4 linked regions of the Schizosaccharomyces pombe genome follow. Changing the gene in region 1 together with any one later gene gives a genetic interaction. Each region holds a gene or a part of one and is shown in the gene's direction. Other genes may lie near its edges. The genes, in order: tif452, sfp1, irc3 and mgr2.

Region 1 (3,774 bases):
GCTTAGATGCATTGGATATCAGGTAAGTTACTACTTATAATTAGGAATTACAAAAGAATAGCACTCAAATATTTTAAGCCGCTGCATATGATTAAACGAGATTGAAACAAGTATTTGTATGTCCTTTATAGTACTCGATTGTGATCCTTTCTTTAACTTCACCTTATTTTTAATAATAATAATCTCATTGAAAGGACAGCACATCATGTCTATAAAGGGAAATATCAATAGGAATTGTTGACTTGGCTGGTTTAGCCTGTATCTCTTTACGAAATCTTTTTGTTAATAGTTCTATACTGTCATGCAACTTTTACTAACTAATAAATCTCAGCCATCAGATTTGAACCGACTAAATGTCATCCATGTTGCTGGAACTAAAGGAAAGGGTTCTACATGTGCATTTACATCCTCAATATTACAGCAAATACAGAAGAGTGGAGAAAGGTCGATTCCAAAATGCATTGGTATGTACACTTCTCCTCACCTCCGATCTGTCTGTGAACGTATTCAATTAAATGGCAAACCTATCAGTCAAGAGTTGTTTACTAAATATTTTTTTGATGTATGGGAGCGCCTAGAGAATGCTGTCGGTAGTGATTCGGAAAAGCCAATGTATTTCCGATTCTTGACACTAATGGCATGGCACGTTTTCATTTCAGAGAATGTCGATGCCGCTATCATTGAAGTTGGGATTGGTGGTGAATACGATTCTACAAACTTAATTGAAAAACCATATGCCACAGCAGTTACAAGCTTAGGTCTTGACCACACGTCTTTGTTGGGGAACACAATAGCAGAAATTGCTTGGCAGAAAGCTGGAATCTACAAAGAATCAGCTATTGCCTTAACTTGCGAGCAAGCTCCCGAGGCTATGAATGTTTTAAAAAACCGTGCTGCTGAACGAAATACATCACTTAAGGTAGTCATACCTCCTGCTGAATTAACGCCGGATATGATTGGTCTTTCAGGAGTTCATCAGCTTGGAAATACATCCCTTGCAGTTTCTTTAGTCCAAGAATTCTATGAAAAGGCCGGGTGCCCTTTTGATAGAGATCCATATCAGGATCCAGCAATTTTGGACGGCCTCAAGTATGTAAAATGGCCTGGAAGATGCCAAATTGAGGAAATCAACAACATAAAATGGTGTTTTGATGGAGCCCACACCAAGGAAAGTTTGGAGGCCACTGGACTTTGGCTCGCATCCAAGAAGAATCTTTATGAGGATGCAGATGCCCGTATTCTTCTGTTTAACCAGCAAAGCAGGGATGATCCAATTGCTTTACTTAGGTCCTTCTTAAAAGGATTGGAAAGCTCGGGAACTGGGATTTCGTTTACGCATGTTATATTCTCAACCAATGTCACCTGGAAGGATGCAGGCTATAATCCAGAGCTGTTAAGCATTAATACCATTACTGATAATAAGCCCGTTTTGCATGTACAAGAGGATTTATGTAAATGGTGGAAAGAATCGAAGGGCACGACTAGTGAAGCAACAGTAGCCCCTACCATCCAAGAAGCTATTGAGACAGTGATGTCAATTAAGCAAAAATCCAGGAATACTTTTGTTTGTGTCACCGGAAGTCTGCATTTAACTGGTGGTGTTTTTGTAGTACTAGATCAAGCTGTTTTTTGATTGAAATGGAGAAAGGTTCTACATTTTGCAACATTGTTTTTGAGATTTAAATGATTCTTAGATATACAACATAGCTTTATGCATCTTTGTAATTACAAAATGATTTTTAACAATTTGACACGTAAGGGGAACAAATTTGATTTCACGAATTATAATAGTATGCAGATAAAAAGCTGTGTGAAATTTGATTATACTCGTGCATTTCCAATCAAACAAATAATTTACTGTAAAGCTTTAAGGCTGATTATTGACTTTTTATATATACTTAGCCAATATTTAAGGTATGAATGTACAATTATATTTTACAGGAACAGTGTGTTGAAAGTTGCTTTTGCTTGGATCTCGTAACCCAATTACGACCACCGCATCTTTTCAGCATCCAGCCTAGTTTACAAACTGCCTATTATAAAAACGTTTTAAGCTCTTTTAATATTTTTGTTTTTTTAAAAAAAGCAAATGGCAGATGCAGAAGACTCGCGTCACTCAAAAAATGAGGGTTTTCCCAACACTTCCTTAATCACAGAAAAACTAGATCTATTGGATTTATTTGGGTCACCAAAAGTTAAAACTGAAAGAGAGGGACGTCCAGCGCGCCTTCTTGAAGGTCTATCGGCTGTTAATGCTGAAACTGCATTTGTAAAAACACACCCCCTTCAGCATGAATGGACATTGTGGTTTTTGAAACCACCTACACAAGGTCTTGAATGGAGTGATCTTCTTAAAGAGATTATTTCCTTCAAGACAGTGGAAGAGTTTTGGGGCATCTTTAAGACGATCTCAAAAGCTTCGATGCTTCCCGCCAAATCGGACTACTCTTACTTTTTGAAAGGTATTCGTCCTGAATGGGAGGATCCTCAAAACATGAATGGTGGGAAATGGGCCTACCAAAGCAAGCACAAAGGTTCAAATCTCGACGAGTTGTGGCTGTATATGGTAAGTCATGGTCTGTTCATTTTAACTGCTGTGATATCGACTTTACAGAATGTTAATTTTTAAGTTGAAAGTATTAACGTATGGAAATAGGTGCTGGCAGCCATTGGAGAAACATTAGACCCTACTGGGAAAGAAGTTACTGGTGTAGTTTGCAATATGAGGAAAGGATTCTATAGAATCGCTGTATGGACACGAAATTGTAATGACAAAGATGTTTTGGAAAAAATCGGGTATGTGAAGTTTTAAGAGTAACGTGTTGGTAGTTGACTGGACTAACAAACATGTAGCCTGCGCTTTAAAGAAGTTTTAGGGATTTCTGATAAAGAGACTATAGAATATAGTGCTCATGAGGATTCATCAAAGGCTGGTAGTATGCGAGCAAAAACCCGTATGAGTCTTTAATGATATCAAGTTTCAAGTTTTTATTTTTACTTTCTAAGGCTTGGTAAATTATAGGGGTGTTCATTTACGAATGACAATATGTTATTGCAATCATTGCCCTCTTGTTTTTGAGACCTCTAAAATACCAAGCTTATTGAGATGAGATAGATGCCTCTTTACAGTTAGTGTATTCGTATGAATAGTTTAATTTGTTATATTTGTTGAGCATTTTAATAGGCTAATGGATATAATCTATATTTGACCCTTCTCTTACGTTATAAATATTAAAATTCTATCAAGAATGTAAATATGCTAGATCGCCAAATCTTCCTATTATTCATAACCGCCTGTATATTAAACATTTATCGCTAGCTTATTTCAAGCTGAATAATGTCTACTATGATTTTACTATTTCCGAGGATCTAATGTAATGTTGGAACTAACCTTTATCGCTAAGGATCCATGAATGTTTGAATCAAACTAAAATTTCGAAATAATAGGCGACCTTCATTTCTTCTTATCATTGTCGAAATCGGATAACATTAATTAAGAAGATAGCCCTTTTAATCGAATTAATGCAGCGCTTAATGAGTACTGGGAAAAGTGGGGAAATTTACTTGCAACTTCTGTATGCTTAGAATTAGATATCTGGTGAAGAAGTATCTACAATCAGACTTTTCAATGTACTGTACGGAATATTGTCGAGTATCAGTGCACCACTTCAATTCCAAATCTATCGCTTCGCTTATACTCAAAGTTTTTTAAACAAATAAAGCTCAGCACTAACTTCATCATTTGGTTAATCAGCAATTAGCAAAGATGAAATG
Region 2 (5,118 bases), on another chromosome or scaffold:
CGTATAGGAAGAATTGAATCTGTCTCACTTGAATTGTATGCGACAATGTCGTTTTGATGTTGTTGACCCATACTCTCTTGACACTTGTTTACTAATGTCATTTTTTCATTTTTTTCTCATAGACGATAGATTACTCCTTGGGATGTATGAATTTCTTTATCGTTTTCTTCAATTATTAATCCTATCAAATTGTCTGTAGTTTTTCATTCATGAACCAAGTCAGAATCACTTTTATCTTGGTCCTTGTTCATATCCCTTCGCTTGCCATAGCGCCAGCGCCCTTGACATCATGGTAGAGTGTGTTTGATATAGAAGCATCATAAACTATCCAATGGCCAGAACCCTAGAAGATTGCTGAGAAATGTAATTAAAACGTTGTAAATTCATTGCCTTTGGTATTGAGTGTGATGCCTGCGAATTTCATCTTTTCAACTACTGACCTAAGTGTGGTGGATATGTGGACAAATGATGGGATTGTTAAATAATGAAAATGATGCTTAAGAGTTTCTGGAAGAAAACGAAGAATTGATAGATTGGACATTTGACGTTGACTTTCCATTTCTATATAATGGATGTGGATTTCGCTAATGCCAAACACAAACTGCATTGTTTATTAAAAAAAAATTTCCTCTTAACGATTCGATTCAGTTCATTGGTTTCAATACAATACATCCCATTCTCCAATCGTTTGTATGAAATCATCAGTATTGCTCTAAATCCTTGCAATTTTTCTAAAAGTCTTTTTTGGTTACGAAAAAAAATAAAAAACTCCGTTCTGTTAAAAACTTCCTTTGATTCTAACGAAACAATTTTTTTTTTATATTCTCTTCATCGTTGTGTGTATTATCTTTTCATTTATCTGTGATAATACCGATTCTTTATTTATTTATTTACTTAGTTATATACTTGTTATTCCATTCTGTTCCTTTGTTAGTTACTGATCTTCACCTTACTTTCAATCATTTTCTTTTGGGTTGTTGTAAGGTTTATATATTTGGTTTATCTTGTACGATAGTTTGTTTTTTTCTTCATTCGCAAGCTATTCTATCTAGATATTTTTTTAGCTCCATTTCCTATAAGCTTTAGTTTTTCTTTTCCCTTTTCCCGTCTAATTTTTTCTTGTAAAATCGCTAGACGTCCATTTTCATTTTCTTGTTTGCTTGTCTTTTTACATCTCTTCCAAAAATATCCGTCTTCTCTTTACTAGCACAAAGAAGAGAAATATCCTTCCTCCATTTCAATTAAACGACGATATTTCTTTCATTTCATAGTCGTTTACTTTACCAATTAACCCTTGAAAGGACATTGTATCTCGCAAATTCCTTGAGTTTGCTTTCCCGGTAAATTTGGTATAACCGACAACGATCTTCATTGTCTGCCTCCATCCATTCCCCATTAGCTGCTTCACAACGTGACCAGACTGCGAACCCTGCCTCAAGTTTGATTACCGAACCAACATTTGAATCGCTAAACGTTTTTAGCCGCTTCGATTTTCCGAGAAACACATAAACAAAGATTGTGTGTGTTACTGTACCCGTGTGCACTTGACCGTATATTAGGACACTATAACGCTAAGCTGCGTACCGCTTAATTCTGCACTGAGCTCCAAGCCATCCGCCATCGTTCATTTGCGACCCTTTGTCTAGAAACTATTCGCCCCTTGTCTTCGGCCCCATCTATTGGAAGTAACGACCTTCCGATACGGCACTGACGAAGTTGCATTGTTACCCCTAATTACTTTGATCCAAGTTCGATCCACTCTGTGTACTCTGATTGGCTTTCTTATATTTAAGGGCCCCTCATTAGGTGTTTAAGTCTGAAAGCTTCACTGTTATTCGCTCGCATAGTCGGCGTCACTGTTACTTGACCCTTTTATCCTTGTTACCTTTATACATACGTAACGAGAAGGCTTGCTAAATCACCTTATCAATTACTACTTAAACACCGTCCTACCCTTCTTAACGCCTTATTCTGACTAACTTCAACGTGAGGACGACACGAAGGAAGCAGAAGCAAATATACTTACTTAACTTAAGGGAGTTAGTACAATCATAGAATTGTTGTTGAATACCATATATTCAACTTAAAAAAAATTAAACATATTTATAAAAAAAATTCGCTTGCAACATATATTGCGTCCACTAGTTGCCTGCAAAAAAAAGATTACTCTTTTGAAGTATCACCACTCTTTTCGATTGATCTCGATTGTTCATTGAATCAAAGCGTAAATTATTTACTATTTCGCTTTATTTTAAAAAAAAGTCGAATCGAACAGTTTCCTCGACTCGATTCGTTATTACTTGACTTTCTTTGTTGATTAAAAAGGATTCTTTAAAAGGTTTTTACTCCCTTTCTTTTCATCTTATTTATATTATACATTTATCATCCGTTAATCGCCAATTTGTTTAGACTGAAAAAATTAGATAAGTCACTTTGGGGTTTCCACTTAAAACATTACAATACACTAATTACACTTGGGTAATTTAGTGCTTAAAAATAGTTTACCTTCATTTTTTTGCTTGGTAAATTCTTCTTTTAGAAACTTTTTCCTTTTTTTTTCGAATTTATAGTTCGTCGAATTTCATTAGATTTTACATTCAGTCTTTTTTTAATTGCCTTTTTTTACCCCTCTCAGCGCTCTCTAAGAACTTGCCTTCCTTAAGTCGAGTTTTCTAAGTGCATTATTCCCTGATTTCTCAAAAAATAACTTACTAAATTATTTTGTTATTTTTATTCTATTTTTTCATCATTGGTATATAATTTTTAATTTGGTTTCTATTTATCGGTTTATCTTTTAATTTTCTCTTTTATCTCTTTAATTTTATTAATTCCCTTAAAAACTTTTCAATATGCCATCTCTCGCATTGCCTATCAATAAGCCTTCCCATCACAATGTCAACTACAACGGAAATTCCTTTAACAGCATTCATGCTACCTCTTTTGGAATGAGTCCACAGTCTTGGGGAAATAGCTTTAGTGGACAAGCTTGGCTTCGTGATACTATTCCATCTCTTTCTAACGTGGTTGAGTCACAAACGATTCCCGAAGAGGATTCTACCTCTTATCTAAACCGGTTAGAAGAAGCATTTTGCCGTGATTTCCGCTGCTGTGGTCAAACTCTCGAAGATTTGCATCAACTTATTCACCATTATGAAGAGCAGCACGCCGTTCTGGCAACTGATTCTGCTGTTCCTCAAGAATATTCTTTGGATAGCAACAACGCTGCTCAATCTAATCATTCTCATATTCAAGCGCTCAAACAGCGTGAGCGCATCCGTATGCATGATCTTGCTGATCAGCTTGGAACTTCTGAAATTTCTGATAATTCTGCTGTTTTACCATTTGCCTTTCCTGCTAACGGTGGTGCTCCTGGCCCTTACCGCGTTTCCGTTGTCGTACCTGCCGCTGCTGCTGCTGCTGCTGCCGCTGCCAGCTCCGACATGAGCAGTGACGAGGCCAGTAGTCAAGCAGAGACAACTGGTACCCCGAAAAAGATGCCTGAATCATTGGTAATGGATGCAAGCTCCCCTCTCAGTGACATGAGCATGTCTATTGACGTTGGTGAGTCCGCTGCCAATAATGTTTTTGCGTTCAATCAAAAGGACATGGTTGACTCTACATATCTTCCCCCATTCAATTACGATCACGATGTTTTTTCATTTGCTCCATCTGTCGCATCCGCCGATCAATTCACAGAGTCTAGCATGTCTCCTACTCCTGAAGTAGTTTCACCCGCAGCCACAAACTCAGCAATCTCATCCCCATTTGTTAGGAAATCTTCTAGTGATTTGGAAGCTAAGCCATCTAAAAAGCAGCGTTCTACTCCTGCATTCTCACACGATTCACCGCTCACTATTGATTACCCAGGCTCTAACTTGGTGGTTGTAGACAAGCCATACAAATGCCCTGTCCCTAATTGTGATAAGGCTTATAAGAATCAAAATGGTTTGAAGTATCACAAACTTCATGGACACTGTTCCCCCATTACTACTCCAACACCAGCTCCAATTCCTCATCAAGGGTTTGTTGTGGAAAACAAGCCTTATCGCTGTGAAGTTTGTAGTAAAAGATATAAAAACTTAAACGGTTTGAAATATCATCGTACACATAGTCATCTACAAGTGTCTATGGCCCAAGCTCAACGGGAAGTTCAAATGAACTTTATGCGCACCGCATAAATATGCTCTTTTTTGCCTTTGTAATATTTGAACATGAGATTTGTATCTCAGTTTCGTATCTTCAAGTTTGAATACTTTTATGTCTATCTTTGCTTTTAAGTTTGAGAAGGGTAGACATGTTGTGTGGAGTTTGCTTGATGTTTACGGGCTTGCATTTATCTGCATACAACAATCGAATTAGCTGTAAAGTGAACCTGTCTCCTTTGATTCATTCCCGTTAATTTTGCACTTACTTTATTACCTACATGATGGCTGTGTTTGTTTTGTTTGCTTTTTTTTTGTTTTTTAATTTTTTGTTTTGTCATTTTGGGATTCTGGATTTTTAATGGTTTTTATTGTGTATTAAGTTATTTTTGTACCAAATATCCTCTTGCTGTTATTATTATACCTTTTAAGTTAATAAATATGTATGGCAGTGTTATTTACCATATATTTGCTAAGTTATTTCACAACGTAGTTTCGATAGTAATTGTAGAGTACTGTAAGATCGTTGGTTAGTTCCCATTGGGTAAGTTGACTATATAACGTTAGATTCATTACCAATTTGCCTAGTCATTTGCGCATTTTACGAGACAAACACAGATCACTCGTATATAAGTCACCAGATATTTTATTAATCTACTTAATTCAATCCAGATGATAAGCCAGTATTAAGTATGAAAAGTTGATGATGCATATGAAGAAAGTGAATGCTCGATACACTAAGACCATAAGTTGTTTATCCCTCTGCCTCTTCCACACTATTGCTTTTGTGCTTTGGTGTAAAGGTGAATCGCTCAGGAGTAGGACCTAGGAAGAACTCACTCAATTTAACCCAGTCCGTAACTTTATTACTGGCCAAGAGAGTTTCCATCTCATCTCTCGCGGTATATAGAGGCGGTCTATCATTTAATCTGGGCCTTTGAACTTCGTACAAAGCTATAGGTGTATAACGATGGAA
Region 3 (4,620 bases), 2.2 Mb from region 1:
AGATGATGGGTACAGGGAATGCTTCGGTAGTTCTTTCAAAGAGTCTTTGCAACAAGCATTATGTTCTGCACCAACAAGTTCCATTGCTTATCACGAAGAAGAAATAAATCCCGATAATACAATATATAGAGCTAAATGGGAAGAGTATTTTGGCGGTGTCATTTTGCATAATGCTTTTTTTATTCTTCATGTGTCTCTTGGGGAGGTACCTGATTTCCATCTTTTATTCCACTGCAGTTCAGATGTTAGGATTCTACAAGTGGTAAATGAATCTATGCCTATTAAATCTGAGTTTTTCATTTTAACTACCGAGTCCGTCTTGTGGATGGATATTCAACATCCTCAGAAGCCGCTACTTGAATGGAAACATAATAGAAAATTAGATCCTACTTTGAAAATTACGGTTACCGCTACTTTTTCTCAAAACATCTATGTCTCTGTTTATTCTCAAATGAATGGTGTTGTCCAACAAATTCATTTTTCAAAAGACAGAGCTCTACCTGTATCAGGTAGTCATCCATTTCTATTATTAAATGAGGTTCAGGTTCCCATAAGATCCCTCATTATACAACCTTGTTATTTTTTTGAGTCATCTGAATTTGACAGACAAGGTCCTTTTGATTCACCTTTTTGGTCTGCAATAATTGATAAGGCTGACGGATCTCTTTCCTTACATATTCTTTGCGAAAAAAGTTCTCTTAAAATATATAATTTAGAGGAGCTTACTGGTTCTAGCCAAGTTGCTATGAAATTTAAAACTATCACCCCTTCTGTAAACACTAGTGAAGATGATTCGGCAAATGATCAAGAAATAATAAGCACTCCGAATTCCGATTTTCAACAATTATCACTGTCACGGTTATACCATGTTTTGTGCTCTAATAGGAACAAAAAGAATACTATCACCCTTGATGAATTCGCTAGCAAAGTTCCGGATTTTGTAGAAGCTTTTGATTCTATCAATCACGATGTTATAATAACTTTGAGTGAGTTATATGACGGATTTCCTTTGAAAGGAACCTTTACTAATGTAGCTGAGATCATAAGTCATTTAGAAGGTACAGAACTATCATTTTATTTTCCTTATATGTTTGGTATTAACTACAACAATGCTTCTTTCTTTTATACTTCCGTGGACTCAATTGCTAGTTTAATACACAGGCGCTGGGAATCTAATACTGATAAGTCTGTCGAAATTCCTTGCTTTCAGTCTTCTCAAAGAAGATCTATAAAAAATGTTATTCACTATTTATTTCTTTCTTCTATAGGAGTCTCCAGGGAAAAAATATTTGATCCATCATTGTCTCGAAAGGAAATCGATTCAACCGACTTGCTTACATTTATCAAACCTTTTTATGATACGGAAGGCCTGGAGCTGAATGAAGATGTTAGAAATATTTTGGAGAATTGGGAGATTGGAAAGATATCTTCAACTTATGTCATTGGTGATAGCGCTGTCGAAACGGAGGATCCATCATCTAGCCAATTTAGTGATTTCTACATTTCACAACAGCAGTCTTCTGTACTTCCCTCAAGCCAAATTGCGACAGTCTTTTCTCAAGAAGATGTTCCTAATTTTTCATCGCTATACTCGGAGAGTTCTAGCCAAACTATCCCAATAATGTCACAAGTCGTTAGTGGCAAATATGGTTCTCGTCCTTCCAAAAAGAAAAAGAAAAGAAGCGGATTTTAAATCCACCCGTATTTATTTATCTGTAAGTGATTTGTTTACAACTTGGGGAATAATTTGCTTGAGTTATTGATACTATACCAATGCTTGGACATAAGGTTGGTAGTAAATTATTTGCATATATTATGAAATTGCTAAAATTTAAAATTTTTTTTTCTATAATGTTTATAGAACTTTCAAATTTTATATCTTAGTTAGCCTTTGTAAGTCAATAAAAGTAAGTAATAATTAATTGTCTGCATGTCATGCTAATTTATGCTCTGACAAATTATTTTAACTAAGCCATTTTATGCCCTTATCCATTGCTGTATTCTATAGTTATAAAATTATTTTTGTGTCAGAGATTATCTTGCCGTAGACATGCTACTAAACGCATGTTGCAAAAAGAATTTGTGGCCAAGAAATGGTTCAACTATATTTAGAAGATTTGCTCTTAAACTTCGTCCTTATCAAGAAGAATGCCTCAGTGCCTGCTTAAACGCTTTTGATGAAGGTAAACGTCGAATTGCTGTTTCATTAGCTACAGGCTCTGGTAAAACGGTATTACTGTTCTACTACTGACTGCAATATTAACACGTCTAAAGGCATTGTTTCCCCACTTTATAAAATATGCACCTACTTTAAGGCCAAACTCTGAGCAATGTCTAATTTTGGTTCACAGAAAGGAGTTAGCTTTACAGGCCCTCAAGCATTGCCGAGAAAGCCTTCCGAATAAGGTACCGTTCTTTTTCCAAATAGATTCCACGCTGTTTCGTTTACTAACTTTGCCATAGTCTATTGAGATTGATATGGGCAATCAGTGTGCATCCGGACTGGCTGATGTTACCGTTGCGTCAGTTTTTTCTTTAAAAAATGAAAGACTACTTAAATATAATCCTCTCAATTTTAAACTTTTAATTTTTGATGAAGTTCACCATATGGCGTCTCCTTCGTACTTACGAATCCTTGAGCATTTTGGCGCAGAATCGGAAAAATCGAAAGTGAATGTGATAGGACTTACTGCGACTCTTTTCAGAGCAGACGGAAAAGGGTTGGCTTGTGGCCTAGATGAGATTGTTTATCACAGGTAATGCTAACAGTAGAACGTTCAAATGCTAATAAATAGACATTTCGTGGACATGATCAAAGATAACTGGTAAGTGTGTCATATTTATAGGTACTCTTCCTAACTCCCAATGTTAAGGCTTGTTGAACCAAAAGTCATAAACATAAAGTGGTCTACAGATCTTGTGTTAGCTGATTCGTCTAGCTTCTTGGACCAAGAGAAGTTAAAAAAGGAGGCACAATCAGAAAAGGCAATATTCGAAATTCCAAGAGCTTGGCTCGAACATGCTAGTAAGCTGAATATAGTTATCTCTATATTAATTTCCTTTTAGGTAACCGCTCATCTACATTGGTGTTTTGCATAAATGTAGAGCATTCATTAAAAGTTTGTAATGCATTTCGAAAATTAGGTATTGATGCCCGAGCTTTGTTTGGGGAAACTAATGATTCGGAACGTGAAACTTTAATCCAAGATTTCCGAAAAAAGAAATTTCCTGTCCTTGTTAATTGCATGGTGTTGACTGAAGGGACCGATATTCCTAATATTGATTGTTTAATGATCGCTCGGCCTACAAGTTCTCCAAATTTACTTACACAGATGATTGGTAGGGGATTGCGATTGCATGAGGGAAAAAGAGATTGTCTAATATTAGATTTTTGTGATTCTTTAAGAAGAGTCAGTCTACATGTTGACCCTACTTTAGCTGGTCTTTCCCCCGATGAAGTTGAAAACTTTTATAATAAATCAAAGAATTCCCTTGCGAACCCTGATTATGATCCTAAAATTTATGGATTACAATCTGTTTTGTGGTACAGCAAATTACGGAAGTTGATAGAAATGATGGATAACATTAAAAACAAAGATAGGAGCATTTTCAATTTATCTACTAATGCTTGGGTTGCTGTCGGTATGGGTCGATATGTCTTGAGCTTTTTACAAAAGGTGTTGATAATTGATACAAATTTTGAAGATGGGACACATAAGATATCTGAATATACGAAAGAGAAATTAGGGACTCGAGTGTATAATCGAAAACGTATTGTATCCGATCGCATACCTTCCTTGAAATTCGCGATAAGGGCAGCGGAAACATACATTTCCAATTTGAAAACACCTCGTTCTCTTATTAGTCGTAAAGCAGTGTGGAGAATGAGACCCGCGTCTGTTAGACAAATAAACTTCTTGAAAAAATCAAATTTAAAACTAGATGAAAAACTCTTGACAGCAGGTGTTGCAGCTGATATGATTACTAAAGTAATTTATGGAGGAAAAGGTCGACAAGTTAGAACAGATAAGCTACAAAGTTATCTGAAACACGACGCAAATTTAAAGCGTATTACTACATTGAAGGAATTAAAGGGTTGATGGTTTCAGTGTTCTTCATAAAAATCGTTTTCTTCACTGTACCAGTGATAATATTTGCTTGGAGTGGAAAAGAAATGTCTATTATATGCTTTTAAAGAAAATATGAATGTCCTTATCTAAAAAGTATATTACTGGTATATATATTAAGACTGCTTCAGCTTGTTTCGTCTCCTTTCAGGTCGATTTTGAACGCTGCTGCGAGTTTTTCCTCCCAGCCTGGAGCTGAAAATTCTGAAAAATCAAAGCAGTTTTCATCGTCTAGTGCAAAAGACCCCTGTTTCAATCTCACAAGATCGACCATGTGTGCTTCACTATTTACTTGTCGGCCCAAATCATGAATTAAAGAGCGAACGTAGAAACCAGAAGAAACCGTCATATCAAGGACTGCAATTGGCCCTATTGCAGGTCGTGATCCTCGCGCTAAATCAGTGACTTCAAACTTTCGTTTTTTAGGGTTTGTGACAGTTTGATCTTTGGCTACATCTGTAACAGAATTGGTAGTGGGACTCTTCGCGTTTAT
Region 4 (3,051 bases), 440 kb from region 1:
TCTTTGAAGGCCGGTGATCGTGTTGCATTATTAGATCCTAGGGATGGGCAAACTGTTATTGCCATTTTGACTGTTGAGGACAAGTATACCCCAGATAAGGCGAACGAAGCTGAAAAGGTATTTGGTGCTAATGATCGCGCCCACCCTGCCGTCGACTACTTGTTTGGTCGTGCTGGAAATGTGTATGTTGGTGGTAAACTTCAAGCCGTTACTCCTATTCGCCATTTCGATTTCGTAGAGTACCGCTACTCACCTGCTCAACTTCGCTCTGACTTCCAGCGTAACAACTGGAATCGCGTCGTTGCTTTCCAAACCCGTAATCCCATGCATCGCGCCCATCGTGAGCTTACCGTCCGTGCTGCTAAGCAACACGGTGCCCGTGTGCTCATTCACCCTGTCGTCGGTATGACCAAGCCTGGTGATATCGATCACTTCACCCGTGTGCGTGTTTACGAGGCTATTCTCCAACGCTATCCTAAGGGTTCCGCCAAGCTCTCTCTTCTTCCCTTAGCCATGCGTATGGCTGGTCCTCGTGAAGCTTTATGGCACGCCATCATTCGTAAGAACTACGGTGCTTCTCATTTCATCATTGGTCGTGATCATGCTGGTCCTGGTAAGAACAGTCAAGGCGAGGATTTTTATGGTCCTTACGATGCTCAGTACCTTGTTGAACAATACGCTCAGGAAATCGGTATCACCATTGTTCCTTTCCAAATGATGACTTACCTTCCTGATGAGGACATCTACAAGCCAGTTGACAAAGTCGAACCCGGTACCCGTACTTTGAACATCAGTGGTACTGAACTTCGTCGCCGTCTTCGCGTCGGTGCCAACATCCCTGAGTGGTTCTCTTATCCAGAGGTTGTCGCTATTTTACGTCAATCCTATCCTCCCAAATACTCTCAAGGATTTGTTTTGGCTGTTCCTGCCACCTCCGATAAACTTCTCCCCAGCGCTCTAGTTTCAGCCTTGAACGAGGATGGTCGCCGCCATGTCACTCTTTTACCTCGCTTAGATGCTATTTCAGTGTTTTACGCCCAAGAATTGCAACGTGCTGGTGCTGCCGTTGTTGTTTCTCTGGCTGATGCTGATGCATCTGTTAAAGTACCTGCTGAGTGGACTACCGTAAACATCAAGCCCAAAGACTCTGTTTCTGAGGTTACTTTTGCTGTCCTTTCACAATTGTCTGACGAAGGCTATCTTTAAAATAATGTTTTTTGACATATATATATATATATATATATACATATATCCATTTTTGTTCTTTTATGTTCTACTTGTCTATTAAATAATAAAATAATTGCTGCAGGAATGACAACACTCCCTCATTAGAACTTTGCCATTTGTAGATGTAACTAAGAATGCAACTCAATTAAATTTCGCTAAGGACATGTTAGTAATTAATTAGCGATAGGCTTCTTAATAACAAAAGGTAGGAAATTCAATCCGAAGCCGAGGGGAATTAATTTATTATATATGTCAGATATACATAGCAGACTTTAGCAATTGCAATACATGCCAATGCAATGTTTTATTTTAATTCAGAAGTCATTATAACGTTAAGCCTATGCTCTCACTTAACGCATGCCTGGATGTAATACATTGTTACATTTACTTAAAAAAACTGGGCTTATAAAAAATATATATATAGGTTTTCTTTAAATTAACATTTCCTAAACTAAACTATTGATTTAACAAAAGAAATTGTTACATCTATTGTTATACCTAGGTATCCAATATAATAACTGTATACTACCTTACTTTTCCTACCAACAAAATCCCCCTTGAAACTAGTGCTCTCTATTTCTAAATAAAAGTAAGACCTTTAACTACTCAAAATGCAATCTATGCAACCTTCAACTGTGGATAAGCGTAAGTTCTATATTGTATGAATTCAGTCATTAACACTGAACAGTAAAAATGGGCGCCATTATGGGTTCAGCTGCTGGACTTGGCATCGGGTTTTTATTTGGAGGAGTAGCAGTTTTGCGCTATGGGCCTGGTCCACGTGGATTCTTAAGGACCTTAGGTCAATACATGTTAACATCTGCGGCCACTTTTGGCTTTTTCATGTCCATCGGCTCTGTAATTCGCAACGAAGATATACCACTAATACAGCAGTCAGGCTCACATTGGAATCAAAGATTATTAAATGAAAATGCAAATTCCAGTCGTATTTTTGCCTTGGCTATGCAACAGGCCAAAAGTTCTCCACGTAAATCAAATGAAGTTGCTGAGTGCTAATTTCGTTTAATCCGATTATAATAAAAGTATCATACTATCATTTTGTTAGTATATGAGGTACAATATTTGTTTCTCCTGAATTCTGAGTTAAAGATGTACTGATGATTGTACTATCATGCATTTAAACTAAAAAGCTTTGGCCGCTACATCAAAGGACTTTTGCATTTTTCTGATAGTTCATGTTTAAAAAAGTCTTTATACCATATTGTTAATATTTTGATGGCGATTTAATTTTCCTTAAAATTTTTACGATTTAAAGATTTGGGTAATTTGCTAGGTGGTAAATTGGTAAATTAGTTTGTTTCGATGAATAATATTTGTAGCAATAGTTACAAAAAATGATCGAAGACAAGCTATTACAAATAAGCTAATTATTATTTGATCATAAAGATATTTAGAAACAATACTTGTGCCTTAAAACTTGCAATATCAATAATGCTTGTCATAAGGAAGATTCGGTTACATATGGGTTGAAGATACATATGCTCATTAGTATTATTAAATGTATTATATATGCTTGATGTTATCACTTCTTTAGATGCTAATTGTAATGTAAATGCGTCTGTTGTCTCTTTTTGTACACGCATTATTAGTTGGTATCTTATATAAAACTTCGATTCAATCTCCAACTGGTAAAGCAAAATGCAATTAATGCCAGAATAAAATAAATATGCAAGTCCATAAACCGTTGTATGCACCATTCATAAGCAGAATTTACTGCGTTCATAAAGTTGCGAAAGCATAGTCTTCAAAATCTTTCGTTTGCTTCTTAGCCAAAATTCAAAAAAAAACTTGAAAGCACCTGCA

What was found.
Region 2: mutations in tif452 (region 1) and sfp1 together harm fitness more than expected from each alone (negative genetic interaction), as found in Schizosaccharomyces pombe (one large-scale study listed by BioGRID).
Region 3: mutations in tif452 (region 1) and irc3 together harm fitness more than expected from each alone (negative genetic interaction), as found in Schizosaccharomyces pombe (one large-scale study listed by BioGRID).
Region 4: mutations in tif452 (region 1) and mgr2 together harm fitness less than expected from each alone (positive genetic interaction), as found in Schizosaccharomyces pombe (one large-scale study listed by BioGRID).

Annotation. Positions count from the first base shown.
Region 1 is NC_003423.3:1,132,410-1,136,183, forward strand, and holds tif452 (translation initiation factor eIF4E, 4F complex E subunit isoform 2, stress response factor), read left to right. Parts: upstream 1-1,984; 5' UTR 1,985-2,089; coding exon 2,090-2,566; exon of another isoform or gene 2,567-2,656; coding exon 2,657-2,796; exon of another isoform or gene 2,797-2,853; coding exon 2,854-2,968; 3' UTR 2,969-3,210; downstream 3,211-3,774. Other genes in the region: met7 (putative folylpolyglutamate synthase), read left to right, coding at 1-22, 332-1,633. UniProt on the Schizosaccharomyces pombe protein: Recognizes and binds the 7-methylguanosine-containing mRNA cap during an early step in the initiation of protein synthesis and facilitates ribosome binding by inducing the unwinding of the mRNAs secondary structures.
Region 2 is NC_003424.3:4,431,364-4,436,481, reverse strand, and holds sfp1 (transcription factor Sfp1), read left to right. Parts: upstream 1-1,968; 5' UTR 1,969-2,849; coding exon 2,850-4,178; 3' UTR 4,179-4,613; downstream 4,614-5,118. Other genes in the region: SPOM_SPAC9E9.02 (uncharacterized protein), read left to right, coding at 569-865; SPOM_SPAC9E9.01 (uncharacterized protein), read right to left, coding at 1,281-1,543, 1,585-1,621; tRNA dihydrouridine synthase Dus3, read right to left, coding at 4,897-5,118.
Region 3 is NC_003423.3:3,366,651-3,371,270, reverse strand, and holds irc3 (ATP-dependent DNA helicase Irc3), read left to right. Parts: upstream 1-2,044; 5' UTR 2,045-2,050; coding exon 2,051-2,230; exon of another isoform or gene 2,231-2,274; coding exon 2,275-2,406; exon of another isoform or gene 2,407-2,463; coding exon 2,464-2,756; exon of another isoform or gene 2,757-2,795; coding exon 2,796-2,825; exon of another isoform or gene 2,826-2,873; coding exon 2,874-3,025; exon of another isoform or gene 3,026-3,066; coding exon 3,067-4,100; downstream 4,101-4,620. Other genes in the region: RNA polymerase I transcription factor subunit Rrn6, read left to right, coding at 1-1,693; pus4 (tRNA pseudouridine synthase), read right to left, coding at 4,255-4,620.
Region 4 is NC_003423.3:1,569,640-1,572,690, reverse strand, and holds mgr2 (protein Mgr2), read left to right. Parts: upstream 1-1,771; 5' UTR 1,772-1,838; coding exon 1,839-1,872; exon of another isoform or gene 1,873-1,915; coding exon 1,916-2,244; 3' UTR 2,245-2,487; downstream 2,488-3,051. Other genes in the region: sua1 (sulfate adenylyltransferase), read left to right, coding at 1-1,206; SPOM_SPBC27.05 (uncharacterized protein), read right to left, coding at 2,619-2,945. UniProt on the Schizosaccharomyces pombe protein: Required for cell viability in cells lacking mitochondrial DNA.